Linked DNA regions of Caenorhabditis elegans. The protein of the gene in region 1 interacts with the protein of each later gene in a pairwise test. Each region holds a gene or a part of one and is shown in the gene's direction. Other genes may lie near its edges. The genes, in order: crim-1, F48G7.10, gip-1 and tyr-1.

Region 1 (4,602 bases):
CATACATTCATCTCATTTTCTATCTTTTATCACACCGTTCCTTACCGGTTTCTTATTTGAGGCAGCATGTATTTCAATGAGACCTCCATGAGACGTTTTTTTACCTTTTCCCGTCTAGACCCGCATAATCTAAATGGTTTCAATGTTTCCTTTTCCATCTCTCATCGACTCGTTTTTTGTCTATTTTCTTGTCCTCGTTCACTCAAGTTGATAAGAGCATTTTGAACACATAAAAAATTTACTATGGCCTAAACCAGGCGATTTTTATTGAGTTTTCATAAGAATCGTTTTTTGTGGAACATTGTGTACTTTTTTAAAGTTAAAGAAGTATTATTTCAAATTTAATACGATTTGAATGCTCTTCGATCATTCGGCTGATTGGCATGTCTTCCTAATTAATTGGAAACTTCTCAATAGAATACCACAAAATATAGCACTACCCTTATTGATATACTTTAAGAAACTATTTCTAGGTTTTCTTCGGCTTAAAAATGTAGCACATAAATTTGGTGCCAATTACTTTTTGATATTTTAGTATTGACAAAATTTGTGATAATACCAAGGATAACCAAATATGAGCTGCCAAGATAGAGCATTAAATGTACAAGGCTAATAGGGAAAGTACCGTAATCTTTTTGTAAGGTTGACACGCTTAGCGACCAGTTTTCTGTGTGTTTTTCAGGGTTTCATTTTCTCCAGATTTCAAATATTCCAGGTTTCCTGCTCCTCAATATTCTTTTTTTCTGCATTTCAAACGGTAAATTCTTTAGTGAACGTTGAAGATAATTCCGGAATCATTTGAAAGTTGAATTCTTCAAATGAACATTTTGCACGAGACGTAATAGTTTTATCAGTAATAAAATCACTTGTTATTTTTGAAAACTAGATAACTTCTCTTCTCTTGAAAAACTGTGGAATAAAACAAATAGTTAAGTAAAAACTGTTCTTTTGAGTAGGTAGCATAGGAACATCCACCTATTTTTTTTTGTTTGATCTGGTTCTAGTTTCTAAAGTAAACATGAATAAACTTAGAATCTTTGATGAAAGTCATTATCAATGTTATAACACGGAACTAGGTCTCCTTTGTCAAATGAACTGAGTGTTTCTTCTTAATTATGTTGTTGTTTCTTTCTATTGAATTGCAAAACAAAGTGTTCTAATCCATCGGGCGCCAGTTCGGTATACTACGAGCTTCTGCTACCATCTTTCTGTCTCCGCGCACCTTCATCATTTTGTCTTTCGCCCAATGTCAACAGACCTTTTTTCGTCTCCCTGCTTGCTCGCTTGTGTTCTTTCTCTTTGACAGTGCAGCTTCTTCACCGATCGACTCGGATCACTTTCGTTGTCTATAACCTCTCTGATTCTTGTGCTTTACCGTCGTGAAGATCCCGCGCAGTTCGATTTTCAAAGGCGGGGCCTGCACAGACACAGTTCATTTCAAATTGGGACACTACGAGACGGTCTCTCTGTTTCTCGTTTTACTTACTTTTTCATTTGAATTGAAATCTTAGTTACATGGTCCCAAAAAAATCGACAAAAAATTTATATACATGACTACAATTTTCATATTTTTCTTTGCAGAGCTTGTGGGCCGTTCATCACGCGGCTTCTCCGCTGAACGGCAAAAACGGTTATGCAGAATTGTTGAAATGCAGTGGTCAAGTAGTATTATTTTACTCTTCACATTTCTTATCATTTCCAATGCAAAAAACCAAAAGACCACATTGTGCGGGACATGTGACAAGGATTCATGTCCAGATGTTTCAGGATGCGAGCAATTGAAAAAGGATCAGTGCGATTGCTGCGAAGTGAGTAATTTAAAATTTTGATAGAAAACGAACTATGGTTTAACAATTCTTTAAAACTTATTTTTAAAATTAATTTTAATATTCTAGTTCCTCAGTTTTAATTTTCTTTTTAAAATTCCAGAACATTGAATGTGAGCTTTTGAAATAATTTTCCACAATTTCTCATGACTAAAATTCTAACTATTATCATAAATCCCCAATAACTTAATTATTATTGGACAATGATCAAATGAACAAATGAAAGGATCAAATGCTCAGTGAAACAACTGAATAAAGATGAGCTTTAATGTATTATGCTACACAGTCAAATCAGTACCAAAACGAAGAACCGTTTGATAGAAACGCATAATTCAGATACCGTGTATCCTCTTAGAGCTCTTATTCCTCTTATTCCTATAATGAAATTGCACATAGATAGGTTCCCGATAATTAGTACTTTTTTTACTAATAGAGGAAACACGGTACATTAAAAATAATCCTAATTGCTTTGAAAGTGGTTCAACTTTCTAAGTTTCAAATGATAATAACTGTCCCTTAAATCTTACTTTCGGTTTTTAAACCGCGGTTTTAGTTATAATTTTGTTTCTACAAAAAGAAATACACTGAATAAACTTAAACATAAGTCAAAAGTCTATAAAAAAGTATGTGCGGTCTTTTTTAACGGCTTTCAAACAATAAACAAAAAGTTATACTTGCAGGTCTGCATTCGACAAATCGGTGAAACTTGCGACGGGCCTGGTCTTGTTTGTGATTCGCATCTTTCATGTCATCAGGAAAACGATCTTGATGGTTCAAGTCGATGTAAAGGTATATTTTCTTCAATATTTCAAAGTCCCTTTGCATGTTTCATTCGATTTGAAAGAACTTTGGTTGTTTTTTCGAGGTCCAGAATGCTTCCTAATTAAAAAGAAAAGGGTGCTCTAGAGTTACTATTGGGCTTATTTTATTGCTGAAATTTGATAGGGTTTCTTCTCAGTCTCTCTATCTCTCTCTCTCTTTCATTTTCTCTTCCTATAAAAAATGACTTCTCAAAATGGTGGCGGTTCTCTTGTGCTGAGGCTTCTCGTGTGTGCTCGCCGGACGACGCAATCCACCCTGCTCTCCCGAATATACAATTTCTATTTACTTTACTTCACTCTGCCCGCAGTTTTTTAACCAAAAAGTCCTCTATGTTGTGTCCGCAGATAGGGCGGCTTGCAAAGGTAGAAAATGGGTTGGACTAACTTGAGAATTGAAACGATCTTGTTGTGGATAAAAAATCGGACAATGTAGGCAATGGGGATATCAAGTAATTGAAATATTGCAAGGATTCTGAGCATACCAAAACTTGAATGTTGTTAAAAAATACTTAGATTGTTCAAAAATAAATTGTTTTTATCAATTTCTTTCAAGATCTAGAAAAGGAGTGAGCTAGAAAATTCTTGATTGCGGCATGTTGTTCCAATGTTTGGTAATTGGAAGATTTTAAGCCATCATTAAGCACCTCCCAACTCCTTTAACTCAAAATGAAAAGTTTATAGATTATTAAAACATTTTCTACATTTTTACTGAAATATAATGGAACAACGAGCCACGATCGGCCTTGTTGTAGAATTTCCGTCTCAACCTGATCTCGAATTATTTTATGCTCAAGCACATTTGGTTTTGTCTGGATTTTCAGTTCAAAAATGTACTCCTTCCTGTATTTGTCTATTCCGTGTTGTTTCGTTCAAGATGCCATCAAACTTTAATTCAATTTTCGAATTATGATTGCATAGGAAACAGAAAATTTCAAAAAAAAAAAACGGAACGAATGACTAACCAATTGCGCGACACCGAAAAAGAACAGAGTTTCGAGAAGTGTCTAACCTCTGTCTCCCTCAATTGACTCCGCCTACTTTGTCTTCAAGTGTTGCATAGAGTTGGCCATATGCGGGACGACGTAAATCATTTCGATAATTTTTTTACGGAAAGAAGAGCTTGGTGTCTTGGAGATTAGTAATGGTTAAGCTTCTTTTCATGAAATTTTTTTTTCTATTTTTGTCATCGGCAAATCTTTCTGCTTCTCATTTGAATTTGAAAATGTCTTAGTATATATCAAAAATTATGTGTACATACTTTGAAATTTCAAAATGGCTATTCCCGACATTTCTGTGCTTAAATAACAAGGAAAAATCAGAAAAATTTGATATACAAAAATTATTTTCAACAAATAAAAATAAACTTGTTTGAAACTTCAAAATAAAAATGCCTTTCATTATTTTCTATATTAACTGCAATGAATTTGGTTTCACTATGTAATATCTGTTGTTTCAATTTAGACAAACCGAATCCATTGCTTATAATGTATAAATTGTACTTTGTTTTTCTGCATATTGTAACTTGCCACTTCCATAAAACGCCTTTCATCGTAATGTGTACCAGTTGATTTTTGCTTTGAAATGCATAAAAATGGTTCATATGCCTTGACCAACTTGAAATTGACCCTGTCATCTGCAACTTTTTTGTTCTTCAGTCATCACCAAGTATCTTCTCGGTGTCCACCTGATCAGATGTTCTCATGTTTTCAAATCCTTCTTTCTTTTTTCCATGTGATTTTTGTGTATTTTTGTGCTCTAATCCTCTTTCTCCTACTCACTATATTTACAGCTCGAGAATGCAACTAGTCGTCTGCGTCTTTCTACTTCTCTTCTCATTTGTCAATTTTCTCCGAACGGAGCAATCAGGTGTGCTAGAAGGCATTCTCTTCTTGAACAGATATTGTCAAAAAGAAATTAATAGAGTCAAAATAAGTGACAAAGGGGGTGATGGCGGT
Region 2 (3,555 bases), 9.7 Mb from region 1:
AACCATCCACAACACCTTTTTTAACTTCTGGGAAAAAACCAGCTTCAGGTATACACTGCAAGGAATGACTTAAATTTGCATTTTGTCTGATACAACTCACTTTTATATAAATCTCGTTTAAGTTTCTCAGAACGTCATCCAGCGGCTCAAAAGTCTTGTGGAATTTTTGAATCACTTCTCTGGTATGCGTCGAAAATAAGTATTTCTTCGAATCATTAATTCTCTGATCCTCCAACTGTATTGCTCGCAGTAAAATTTCCTCGTTGGCTCTGATCGAAGCAATTTGGCAATTTGAGGAGCGTTGTCCAATTTCGGATACATCACACTCTTGACAAATATCGTTAGAACTAGTTTGGCACCCATTCATTTTTCTGTAATTCAAAAAATAAGAAGTATACTAACATTAGAGGAAGGGTAAATTTTATGAAAATCCGAAACAGTTTTGATAAGACGAAAAAATTGTTTGTTCAATGTTCAATGTTGCCGAAGAACACTAGGGAGGTAGAGAATTAGAGATGAGCAATAGAATTGGGAATGAGAATCGGTTTTTTGTGTCCTCCATGCGTGCAAAGAGAAATTCAATTTGATAATTCTTCATTTCCAGGCACAATCATAGGAATTTTAGAAAACCACAATCATAGGAATTTTAGAAAACCACAATCATAGGAATTTTAGAAAATTTTTGAAACTGTCTGATTTGGACATTTTTGGCAATTGGAAACGAGAGTGTCGGTTTTACGATTTTTCAAAGCTAAAACTCGAAAAATGACACCGTTGATCGGCAACTCTGTTAACTTCTGAAATTTACCCTTGTAGTAACTTGGTGATTTTCGGAAATTTTTTGACCATTACATAAATGTTTTTTTTCTGAAAAAAAGTTTATAAAGCCTATGAGTGATTTTTTTTAAAGAAATGGTTAGTGTTTTCCGGAAACAATAATTGTTAGCAACCCTCTTCATTTAGATTTTTTAGAATCCATTATTGAACCTTAAAGTGCGAGATACCAGTGAATCCAAATTAGATGTAATTCATCGTATCAAAAAATTTGATTATTTTTCACAATACGTCTAACATATGACGGGTCTCTCACACTCTGCGTGTCCAGCGAGGTCACAAAATGCGTATTCGACACGCTTTTTGTGTCGGCCGCGTACACGGAGACACTCGTCTCGTGGGAAGAAAACAGTGTTGGAAAATTGGTTAGACAGTTTAATCGCACGGTTTTTATTAATAGTACCATCTTAAAACTGACAGTAATTTTTGGTCTGGGCTGATGTGTAAATCGTTAGCAAAAGTACAAAAACTTGCATTTCAGAATCAATCTCAAAATGCAATTTTTGCTGAAAATTTATAAAAACCTCATAAGAGAAAGGAAATTACCGTTTGCATTGAAAATGCCGTATATTTTTTTCGGCTAATAACGCAACTATTATATTTGATTATTTTATAATAAACTTTTTAACGATAAAAATAATTTTTAAATTCAACTCACATTTTCCTACATTTCAATATAAATTTTTCAATAAGTTGTTGAAAATCAGCTACTAATGTATCCTCAAATTTTTTGAAGAAATTTTTTTTAATACAAATTTAATACAATTTGTTTTCTTTGTGAAATTTTCATACTCTGATGTTTCTTTATTTTGAAAAAGTTTAGCCCTAATAGTGAAAAATCTTCAAAGAAAAAGAACCCAAAAGATTTAGATTTTAACAATTTCCTGTCAATATTTTGTTAGATTGCAATTGTGTGACCACTTTGAGTTTTCACCACTTTTGACTGCACAAAAAAATTTCAAATTTGTTTTGGAAAGATTTCCCTATCATAAATTCTTATTTTGAGTTCATATGAACTATTTCAAACATTTTTCCCATACTTCACCAATTGAACTTGTTTTTTTTTCGTCCCTACGTTGTAAAGAACCATTAGAGAACGTGGAGAGCGCAGACAACAAACAAGCAAAAAGTAGGCGGCGCCTCAGAGTCAGATATAAATAGAGTATCGGGATTTTCAACTGAATCTACAGCAGTTTTTCGCTCATTCACGTCTACCCGTACCAACAATGTCCACCGAGCCACAATTTGAAAATCCATTCATTGATCGTCAATTGGATGGATCAAAAATCCACGAAATTTCCGGGCACAGGTTCAAGGCCACGGCTCTTGTTCAGCCAACCTGCTGTGCAATTTGCTCCAAGTTGATCTACGGACTCGGAAAACAAGGCTACAGGTGTTTGGGTAAGTTTTTTGAATTTAATACAATTCCTTAAATTTTGGAAAATTTATTAAGCCCTGAAAAATTAATTCGAGTCTGACCCAGCTGTGAATTTAGACCTTAAATTCCCTTGTGGCGTTTTGAACTCGGGCAAGAGTAGAACAAGACTTAAGACTTACGTTAAGCTTCTCACCGGGGCCTGTATGTATCTGTGTCGGATGCTAAAAACTGGGCATATGTACATACTAAAGTCATTTTTAATTTTCAGGCTGTGAAACTGTTGTTCACAAACGCTGCCATTCCTTAATAAACGATCGTTGCAACTTCGGCCCATCATCTCCCCGCCAGCCACCTCCACAAGAGCTTTCCAGTGATTCTGGAGAGCTTCGGCACAGGATCCCATCGCCCACTGAGCCCCAAGTCTCCACCAATCATCACTTCAACAAGCATTTCTACACCCGACCAACGTTCTGTGATCACTGTGGAAGCCTGCTCTACGGGCTCTCCAAGCAAGGCGTTCAATGCTCGGATTGTTTGGCAAATGTGCACCATCGTTGTAAGGAGAAGGCGGTTCACAATTGTATTGTTTCAAGCCAATAATTCAAATAAGTTTTTATGATATCTAAAAATACCTTCTAGGCAGCATAAAAATGCCGAAATATGTTCCTATAAGGCACATAGGTAGGCGTTTTTTGCCTGCCTAGAAAACACATTTCACGCTGATTCTTACCACCCTGATCTCTTTTTCTTTCATTATTTTTCTTCTTCTCCATAACAAAAAAAAATGAATTTTCAATATTTTTATAAGACTAGAAAGTTTACCCGTGAGATAAATACTTGTATAAACACATTAAAAGTATTCAAACATTTCCGGATGCGAGAACTCGATTGAAAATACGTCAAACACTTTTGCAATGTGAGCTTTTTCTTTCAGCTCCCGAATGTGGGCTTCCAGCAATCGAACAATTTTCATCATTTTCGTCAAGCGGTCCGAATAGTGAGGGGTTCGCATTCTGTTCATGTAGTAGTTATGGAGATTGTCTGCTTGAACTTGAAGTATTTTTTCAATGATTTCCAGGTCCTGGCCTTCAACTTTTCTTAGCATAGGCTTTAAGCACAGTTGAATAAACATGTAGTTGAGCTCAACATTTGTTGGTACCAATAGAATCAGAGCATCTATAATAGCCGTCCAACTACTGATCCCGGCAAGGAGAAATCTGAATTTAAAAATTTACAATTAGCTCAACCAAAATTACTCACGGCTTCAACTGATCCATTGAGTGGTGTGTGCAGAAGGAAATATCAACGTCGAAATCATTAATATTCATACACTTCCCCTCGCC
Region 3 (4,597 bases), on another chromosome or scaffold:
AAAAAATGCTCGAAAATCCAAAATTTTGTGAAATTTCTCTCAAAAAACGCGTGAAAAACGCTATTCAAAAAAGTGCAATTTTCAGCTTTTTTTTACTAATTTTTTCTTTAAAAAATTCAAATTTTTGACTGGATTTCTTCAAATTCTCCATTAAAAACGGGTTTTTACTCAGAAAAGAGGGGAAAAACCAGGAAAATTGAAAAATTTTCATATTTTTCGACTGAAAAATGCAAAATTTTGTGAAATTTCTCTCAAAAAACGAGTGAAAAACGGCAAAATTTACAAATTTTTCTAAAAAAAAATCGGAAAAACGCGAAATTTTCATGTTTTTTTTCGGCTAAAAATTAAAATTTCCATTTTTTTTTTTGCAGGGTCGGTGTGTGATTTGTGGTGGCGCTGGCGTCAGTGATGCATATTATTGCAAAGAATGCACAATTCTCGAAAAGGATCGTGACGGATGCCCGAAAATTGTGAATTTGGGAAGTGCGAAGACGGATTTGTTCTACGAACGAAAGAAATTCGGATCGAAAAAGTCGTAGAAATTGGCTTTTTGGCGGCGAAAATGAGCGAAAAATCACAAAATTTCGCCGAATTTTCACCTATATCACCTCTAATTTATCAAAAATGTTCCAATTTTCTGTTAATTTCCACTTTTTTCCGCTGAAAATTCCTATTTTTCTTGAAATCTGACTGAAATTTGGCTAAAAATGAGCTGGAAATATCGAAATTTGGCTGAAATCGTAAAATTCCCTTTTTGTTCCCTGAAAATTGAGCAAAAATGTCAAAATTTTGGCATTTTTGACCAAATTTTGCCTATTTTTGTGAAAATTTGCCTTTTTTTTTCGTTGTTTTTATCGAAATTTTGCTGAAATCGCGATTTTTTCCACTATTTTTCCCTAAAACATCCCTTTTTTACTGGAAATTTGGGCAACATTTTGGCATTTTTGCCTATTTTTGTGAAAATGTTACCATTTTATTGAAAAATTAGCTTAAAATGACAATATTTTCCTAAAAATTTCGAATTTCCGTGAAAAATAGCCAAAATGTCACTTATTTCAGTTAAAAATATGCCATTTCCCTGAAATTTGGCTGAAAATTCGCCTATTTTCACTTAAAATTCCGCAAAAAGCCCTTTTTTTCACTCAAAATGTTCAATTTTTCCCTGAAATTTGCCTGAAAAATCGATATTTTCACTCATTTTCACCTTAAAAATTGTCTTTTTCCCCCATTTTTTCCAATTTTCCTCTACCCTTTTATCAATTTTCGAATAAATTATCGATTTTTCTGTAATTTTTCCCTTTTTTTGCTGTGTTGTGCTGGTTTTGTTACCTATTTGTGTATATTTATCTCTATTTTTTACGGGAATTTTCAGTTTTCCCCGAATTTTTCTGAATTAAAATCACTAAAAATCGATTTTTCTTCCTGAAAATTGGGTAATTTTGCGAGAAATTTAATTTTTGTTTAAAAAAAAACTAAAATCTGAATATTTTTTGGAGAAAATTAACCAAAAACTTGAAATTTTATGAAAAAAAAATGGAAAAATTTCAGATAAATGCGTCGACAAGGCAGCGAAGAAGTTGAAGCTGTACAGCAATTTTTAAATGCTTTCGGGTTTCATGATAGAGGTAATTGGATTGAATTTTAGAAGAAAAAACACCGAAAAAGCCGAAAAATTGACTGAAAAATCGAATTTCTGACGAAAAAATGAGATTTTCCATAAAATATCAATAATTTCAAGTAAATATTCGAATTTCGAGGGGTACGGTAGCACCAAAAGTACGCAAACACTGTGGTACACCAAATCTTACGACATTTTGCAGAAAAACTCCTGAAATTATAATAAGAGTTCAGATTTTTTTCATCAAAAGAATATATTGGTGGCCGAACTCCTTGGATTTTTTTAGGCCACGATTTTCTGAGCCAAAAATTTTATTTTGAATTTTTCGTTCAAATCTCGTTTTTTACTAGAGAAACTCCAATTTCGGCTTTTTTTCTCTTGGTTGCCTAACTTTTTTTTTAGATTTCTAGGCCACCCATTAAAAATAGACCGTTTTATTTGATTTTCTACATAAAAACGGGGATTTTGAATTTTGAATAATTCAAATTTTAAAACCAAAATTTTAATTTTAAGTCTTTTTTTTTTTTGAGATATTTGAAATTTTCTAGACGGTTTTTTGGTGATGAATCGGTTTTTATTAGAATTTCAACTATAAAAACCGAATTCTAGTCAGTTTTTGGATTTAAAATCAATTGGTGGCCGAACTTGTTGGATTTCTAGGCTACCAAACTTCTGAACATTTTCCCCTGTGACTCTTGTGCCTCTATTCGTATTGATTGCAGTAAAAACGGGTATTTATTCACATTTTTAGCCTTAAATTGGCTTAAAATGTGAATAAATACCGTATTTCTGCAAACAATTTGACAATAGAGCACATTTGTCACTTGGAGATGCGGAAGCTATGCCCAAATTTTCATTTTCAAGCCGAAAAACTTGTGAATTTTCGCGATTTTTGCACAAAAAAAACCATTTTCAGCCGATTTTTCCGTAGAAAAACGGATTTTTAATCAAAATTTTGCAATTTTCTGTATTTCAGATGTGATAAAAGTTCAAGAAGGGCTATTCCACAGCCGTCAGCTCAACGATGTGAACGCTTCGAGAACATGTGTAGATCAATTTGTTAAGAAATGTATGAAATTCCAGGGAAAAAACCAAAAAAAAAAGCGGCAGTTTTCCAGGCGAACTTCGTGATCCGAACGGAATAAAACCGCTTCGCAAAAAAATCGATGCTCTGATGAACGAATCGGTAGAAATGAATTATATGATGGATTTTCTTGTGAGATGTCGACAGGCTCACTTATTTCATAATGAAACAATAAGAAATAGTCCGAGTATTGGTCTGGGATCCATTGGAGGTACCCCGACCAATTCGATTCCATCCTCATCGCCGTTTCAAAGAAGATCTGCAAGTCGTGGACGGGTGCTCAGCACGCTGAGTTCGGTGTTTTACCGGTTTTAGCCGCGAAAAATTGTGAAAAAACGGAGCAAATATCACTGAAAAGTCGATAATTTATTTGAAAATTGACATTTATTTTCATTAAAAATTCGAAAAATTAGACATTTTCGGTCAAATTTGACCTGAATTTTATAAAAATATTTTTTTTCTCCTTAAAAGTTGAAGATTGTGCTTATTTTTGTTCGATTTTCGAGAAAAAATGCTGAAATAAAACCTACAAAAATGTGGAAAATTGAAAAAAAAAAGTTTTTTTTTTCATTAATTTTCAATAGAAAAAAAAACGAAATTTTTGCCATGATTAAGTGGCCGAACTTTTTGGATTTCTAGGCCACCAGTCGGAAAACTCGGATTTTTAGAAATTTTTTATTAAATTTCTAATTCTCAAGCAACAATTATTGCGTTTTTTTTCATTAATTTTTTTTTAATTTTTGAGGCTTTTTTTTGGCGAAGAGTCGCTTTTTAATCGAATTTTGAATATAAAAACTGAATTCTATGTGGTTTTTGGATTTAAAATCATTCGGTGGCCGAACTCTTTGGATTTCTAGGCCACAAAATTTTTGAACTATTTTCCCCTGTGACTTATGTGCCTCTACTCGTTTTTTTTTGTTTGCACTAAAAACTGTATTTATTCACATTTTCATCCTCAAATTGGGCTGAAAATGTGAATAAATACCGTATTTCTGCCAACAATTTGACAATAGAGCACATTTGTCACTCGGAGATGCGGAAGCTATGCCCAAATTTTCATTTTTCACCCGATTTTTAGCATATTTTTGGGGTTTTGATGGATTTTAAGTGTTGAAATCGGTTTCAGCTAAGAAATTTTCGGTGACCGATCTTTATGGAATTCTAGGCCACCAAGCTGATTTTGAGCCAAAAAGCTATGCTCAAATTTTTATTTTCGCAATAAGATTTGCAATTTTCCATAGAATCATTCCACAAAAATCAAATTTTGAGCAAATCCCCAAACACTGTGGCCTAACTTTTTGCAAGTTTTTAGGCCACCCATTAGAACTTTGGCGTTTTTTCTCGAATTTTCTACAAATTTCTATGTAAAAATGTATTGAAATTGAGAAAAACTACAAATTCAAGCCTATTTTCGCTTTAAAAATCATGAAAAATCATTTTTTTTTAATTGGAAATTCACAGAAAATTGGCGAATTTTTCCATAAAACTAGTGAATTTTCCAGCCGGAGACCAACAAACTCCATCAATTGCCGATTCATCGTCTCGTTCTCGTGCCAATTCCTCATTTACTGCCTATGACAATCGAATGCTTGGAATGGAACGCCAATTGGCTGGAAATATGGCTCAACGGCCACGGAGTCCGTATACAATTAATGGAATACCAACTACGAGGGTTCAGCCGATTAGCGCCAGCAATCAGCTTTTTACGTGCGTAATTTTCGAGAAAATTTGAGGAAATTTGGTTGAAAATACCGAATTCACCGCTAATTTTCACCCCTAGCACACTTTTTCCGGGTTACTGTAGCTTTAAAAGTACGCCAACACCAGATCTAACGACATTTTTCAGAAAATCGCGAAAAAATGAGTTTTTGTGATTAAAAATGGCTCAAATTTTC
Region 4 (5,492 bases), on another chromosome or scaffold:
AGAAAGTTCATGAAAGACTAATTTAGAAGAAGGCTTGATCAGGCTAAATGATAAGGCTCAGGTATGTAATAGTTCAGGTTAAGCTTGAAAACTTGAAAACTTCAAAATAACAAGAAAAGGTTCTAAATTTACACTCAGCCTTCTTGACGAGTCATGTTTTAGTTAACACCTCAAATTTCGATCAGAAATTTTTCAGTACCTGTATGTAGAATTGTTCCAAAATCTTTTTTTTTGTGGGTTTTTGATTTTGTAGGATGCTTAATAATTAGGTGATCATTCTGGAAGTTTTTTTCAATTTTTAATATTCTGAAAAAGTCTGAAAACATTCTTGCACAGCTATTTAAACTTCAGGCTTACATCTTTTTTCCAAAAAAGAAAAGATTTTAAAGAAAATGTTGAGCATAGCATAGCAAAGCTAGTTTTTGACCTAAATAAAATTAAGAGTTGCTCGCGGTACTTTTTCAAATATTTTTGAACTCTGAAAAAAAAAATTCTGAAATTCATATCTGCAAGGTTTCCCTAGTTGACCTACTAGACATTTGACTATTTACTGACTCATTCTATGTAATTGTTTCTAGGCCGTGATCGTCGCGCAATCATCAAATTGACGTCAATCTTTTCACGAATTCTATCCGTTTTTTTCTTCAAATTTTAGGGTTTTCTCGAGGTGATCTTATCATTTTTTTTTTCTCTTGAATCTTTCCTCGCAACCATCATGTGTTCGCCAAACAATTGGCTCCACCCCCTCCGACGCGTGAACTTTCGAAACTGAATTGAATCAACAATTAGCATCTGAACGAGGAATCCCAAAGAAACCGGCAAAATTTAATAAAATAGCGCAAAATTAAGAGAGGGTGGACAGAGAAATGAGCTATTTTTGTAGTTTTGAGGTAGAAGGTGTAAATAAAAAGAATACGCAATCGAGACGCACGAAGGTCAATTCGAATGGAATTTCTTATACTGTCTCCCAATATTGTATACACTCTCGTTTTTCACTTTTAGCTAGAAGAGAAAAGTGGGAGGCAATGGTCAGAATTGGAAATTCTGAATTATTCGGTCACTTTTTCAAATCATGGTAGAAGGTTTTGAGAGATTTTTTTAAAATGAATACCTAAAAATCTAGGACTACTTTCAGCACTTTCAGTAGCATTCTGTCAACTTTTCAACTTCGACTACCAAACTTTTGTGGAACATTGTTTACTTTCAGTCTAACGTTGCCAACTTTCTCTCTAACTTTGAAAGCTTCCCGTCTCTAGTTGTGAACTTTCTGTAGCACATTGCTTAGCCTATTTGAAAGGACAATCGTTTTAGTAGAATATAGTTGAGATATCAAAATGTACAGATAATGATTTTTTAATCAAGTTGTATTTCTTGTTGTCTATTTTCATTCCTTGTCAACATTCTTACATAAAAATCAATCACTAAACATTTTACCAGAAGGTCAAACCAAATTTTCACCAGAAATGATTTTTTGGAGAACATTACCAAGTTCGGATTTTTTATTTGGTTCCTCATGGTCATCCTCGTCATCTATTTTTATTTTATGCTCTCAAAAGATCCCTTTTCAGACAAAAATGGGTCGGCTTCGTGCCTTCCTTTTGTTTTCCGGCACACTGGCAGTTATTAGCACAGTACATGCCGACTTTAATTGCTCACAGGCTCCTGATTCAGGTAGGGTATTCAGAATACTTTTGCAAAAAATAAATTGACTATTTTATAAGTTTCTTAATGTTTCTCACAACTAGGTTTAAAAGTATAAAAAATTTAGAAAACATAAAACAATTACCAATTCCTTTCCTTTTCAAAAAACAAAGAATAAAAAATTTTCAGACATGGTCCAAACATGCCATATGCTCCAAGAATGGGACAGTGCTGCACGGAAGGCAATTAGAAAACGGCAGGCATTCAATGCAGGTGCTCCAGGAGTTCAGGGGTTTTCTCCATCAAATCCACCACGATTTGCTCCATCAGCTCAAGGATGCATGAATATAGCATGCATCTGTCCGTATATGGGGGTTTGTTTGAATGTTACTTTCATTTTTACTACTTGGCATTTGTTTTCAACTTCTTGTCTAGTCTGTCTAGGCTCAAAAAATATTACCTTGATTCCGAAGTTGCTGAAGTTCGTTCAAGCTATCCTCAAGATAAACCTAAGTTTAATCTTACTCTTGTCAAAATTAGTTCCTAAATAATTTTCTTTAGATCAAACTTGGGCAAAATTTAGGTTTGTCTTAAACCTAATTTTGGCAAATTCTGAATCAAGTTAATATTTTTTATACCACTTGTTCAAAAAGTTTGTACCAAGTGCGAAGTAACTGTGCATTTTAAACTATTTAAATCGTACATTCCTCGCGCCATTATACTTCTGGCAATCTAAGATGTTTCCAAGAAGAAATGTTCAAGACAAAATGCTTGAAAAACAAAAATAAAACAAAATTTAAAAATTCTAGGGACGAATGGCAAATGGATGTATCCTACCAAATGGGCAACCTTACTTAATGGCATATAGAAAAGAGTATAGGTATTACATATTTCATCTAATTTACAAAAAATTTACAAACAAAATTTTAGAATGATGTCAGATAACGAACGACAACGGTGGCACAATGCCCTAATACAATTGAAACGTTCAGGAGAATACGATCGTCTTTCAGTAATGCATCGACAAGTTGGCTCAGCCTCCGGAGCTCATTCCGGTCCAGGCTTCCTTGTCTGGCATAGAGAATACATGAAAAGAATGGAAATTGCTCTTAGAATGATTGATCCAGGAATATCTATGCCATATTGGGATTCTGTTCTAGAATCATATCTTCCCGATCCAAGAGACTCTATTATGTTTGGACCACAATTTATGGGAATGACTGATGCTTCTGGTCAATTGGTTAGTGGTCCATTTGCTGGATTCAGAACACTTGAAGGAAGGCCTAATATTATTAGAAGAATGGCTACTGAAGGGAAAATGTTCACTGAACAAAATATTAATAATTTGATGGCACAAAATGATTTGGTTAGCGTAATGGCTTTCACTGCTCCACAAGGAGGTAATCTATTTATTTATCGAATTTTACTTAAAATTTTGAAATATTGCAGGATGCCCATTCCGTCCCTATTTTGGAGCGCTTGAGTATACTCATGCATCAATTCATTTATGGATGGGCGGAGACATGAAACCACCATCAACATCTGCAAATGACCCAGTCTTCTTCCTCCATCACACATTTGTCGATTTTATTTGGGAAATGTGGAGACAAAATCACCAGAATAGATTTGCAAGAGAAAATGTTCGTTAAAGTTATGAAAAATTACTGTAAAAAGATTTATTTTCAGCAATATCCACCAGACATTGCCGCTTGTGCCAATTCTCAACACTTCAGTTATGCTCAAATGAGACCTTGGGATAAAATTAATCGTGATGGTAAGTTTGCTCTATTATGCTGTCTGGAAAGTCTACTGGAAAGTGTGAATTAATTGACTAGCATACTAAAACAACGATTCCAGATTATTTTTAACTTTGTAAAAAATTTGAAAGTGTAAAAAGTTTCCAATTTTCTTCAGGTCTCTCGAATGCCTACACTGATAATTTGTATCACTATGCTCCTCGTCCAACGTGTAACCGTAATAATGCCAACTGCGGATCTCAATATCTGTTCTGTGATACACGTGGCAATCCACATTGCGTGGCAAAGGTGAAGCCAGGTGGTTTGTGCCGTGGATTCGAAGGATTAGATTCTTGTTACATGGGTACATGTGTTGCTGGATGGTGTAGAGGTGGACAACAGTTCCAACAGGTACGACAACTTTTTATGTAGCTTAAGTTTCAGATTTTTTGAACATGAATCCATACTTGATAAAAATTTCAATTATATACTTTTATACCCGTATTAAAAAAACTCAAACATTAATATTTTTAGCCAGCGCAAACCACTGCAGTGGCTACTGTTCAACAACCTCAGCAGCAGCCCCAGCAACAGCAACCACAGCAACAGAGACCAGCCACAACCCCACAATCTGTAAGCTAATCCTCACTGGAACACGTGCAAAATGTCTAATATTTCAGAATTGCTACAACGAAGATCCATGCTGTAATCAGTGGTCTCGTCAGAATGAGTGTCGAACAAATACAGTTTACATGAATAGATATTGTAGGAAATCTTGTGGATTGTGTCAGTCTAATGATAACAATAGAGGTGTGTTTTGAGTAGCAAAAATGGGATATTTTATAAAATCTCAACGAGCAGGTGTATCTAGAAATTCCCAGAGAGGCCTCCCCGTCTACCTAAAATGAAAACCTAGTTTCTAATAGTTAGTCTCAACTGGGTGGAATTACTTGAGTCAATTTTGAAATATTTTGCGTTTTATCATAATAATCGAAAACTTCCTATGTAATTATAAAACCAAATGAGTTCAGGATGTCATGATCGTCACATATCTTGTGCCTACTGGCGTGGACAGAACTTCTGTACCCGCCGTCGTCAATGGATGGCTGAAAATTGTCAAGCAACATGTGGATGGTGCAATATGAACGAAGCTCAATTATGTGCATCAGTTGCTCGTCAATCAAGAAGAGTTCGAAGAAATGCAAAGTTCTGGCTCACTGAGCCAGATGCAGATGACTTTGTTGATGATTTTATGCTTGATTATGGACGATAATCACTTTTCGAAATTTTTTAAAAATCTTTACTGAAAATTGTCATTTTCACCCAACCAATGTGTATCACATTCTCTCTACGTGTCGTTTTCCTTCCCAAAATCCTTCCGAACTTTCTTCAAAACAATTTCACACCTGCCGAAATCACAGTTGATCCGGGTTTTTGTACAAACTGATTTCCAACACCCCCTGCCCCTGATTTGTTTTCTTATTTTCCAAGAAAATTAATAAAATATGTTTGATCTTTTTTTAAAGCTTGTAACCTGCCCTTAATATAAACCAGTGTAACTATTAAAAATCGTACGAGTTTCTAATAAAAATAAACCCTGATTTTATTAAGAAAAATGAATTTCAAATGTTAAAAAATCTGAAAGGAACATGGGAGATGAAAAGTGAATGACAAAATCAATATAGTTTGGTGATATGTTCGACCGGTTTTCTTTTGAGATCTGGAACAAGCACGTCTTCTGACGCATAACCAAGAGGAAGTAGCAGTAGTATCTGCAATTAACCACTTGGATTGTACTATACTCTATCATCTGCTTACACTTTCATTCTCAGGCCTCCTCAATATTCTTGAAATATCGGGTCCTGCATTCAACGGTGACGTCACTACAGTACTCAATCCAACATTCTGAATTGCAGCCAAAAGGATGCCAACAGCAATTGATGTGCTTATTTGATTATAGTGGAATACCCGTTCTGTTTTACTATGCACGTCACGAAATATCTGAAAACCAGATGTTTGAGGATTGATTTTAAGATTGTTTTGAATCAAACCTCATGACAAACAATTAATAGATATGGAGCATCTGTAATGTATGGCCTCCGCCACGTGTCTTGT

The links.
Region 2: the proteins of crim-1 (region 1) and F48G7.10 interact in a two-hybrid assay, tested with the Caenorhabditis elegans proteins (one large-scale study listed by BioGRID).
Region 3: the proteins of crim-1 (region 1) and gip-1 interact in a two-hybrid assay, tested with the Caenorhabditis elegans proteins (one large-scale study listed by BioGRID).
Region 4: the proteins of crim-1 (region 1) and tyr-1 interact in a two-hybrid assay, tested with the Caenorhabditis elegans proteins (one large-scale study listed by BioGRID).

The regions. Positions count from the first base shown.
Region 1 is NC_003283.11:10,329,092-10,333,693, reverse strand, and holds the start of crim-1 (Cysteine-rich motor neuron 1 protein-like), read left to right. Parts: upstream 1-1,581; 5' UTR 1,582-1,649; coding exon 1,650-1,808; intron 1,809-2,506; coding exon 2,507-2,615; intron 2,616-2,857; exon of another isoform or gene 2,858-2,997; intron 2,998-4,440; exon of another isoform or gene 4,441-4,443; coding exon of another isoform or gene 4,444-4,513; intron 4,514-4,602.
Region 2 is NC_003283.11:633,399-636,953, reverse strand, and holds F48G7.10 (Phorbol-ester/DAG-type domain-containing protein), read left to right. Parts: upstream 1-1,998; 5' UTR 1,999-2,060; coding exon 2,061-2,235; intron 2,236-2,480; coding exon 2,481-2,812; 3' UTR 2,813-3,053; downstream 3,054-3,555. Other genes in the region: pals-31 (Protein containing ALS2cr12 (ALS2CR12) signature), read right to left, coding at 1-55, 101-367.
Region 3 is NC_003281.10:2,346,043-2,350,639, forward strand, and holds the start of gip-1 (Gamma tubulin complex component protein N-terminal domain-containing protein), read left to right. Parts: upstream 1-1,548; 5' UTR 1,549-1,552; coding exon 1,553-1,625; intron 1,626-2,594; coding exon 2,595-2,687; intron 2,688-2,736; coding exon 2,737-2,994; intron 2,995-4,204; coding exon 4,205-4,409; intron 4,410-4,597. Other genes in the region: phf-5 (PHD finger-like domain-containing protein 5A), read left to right, coding at 372-539.
Region 4 is NC_003281.10:7,872,213-7,877,704, forward strand, and holds tyr-1 (Putative tyrosinase-like protein tyr-1), read left to right. Parts: upstream 1-1,568; 5' UTR 1,569-1,574; coding exon 1,575-1,671; intron 1,672-1,830; coding exon 1,831-2,015; intron 2,016-2,450; coding exon 2,451-2,521; intron 2,522-2,571; coding exon 2,572-3,041; intron 3,042-3,090; coding exon 3,091-3,281; intron 3,282-3,327; coding exon 3,328-3,415; intron 3,416-3,555; coding exon 3,556-3,788; intron 3,789-3,911; coding exon 3,912-4,010; intron 4,011-4,057; coding exon 4,058-4,187; intron 4,188-4,408; coding exon 4,409-4,650; 3' UTR 4,651-4,982; downstream 4,983-5,492. Other genes in the region: sup-18 (Iodotyrosine dehalogenase 1 homolog), read right to left, coding at 5,054-5,149, 5,196-5,378, 5,429-5,492.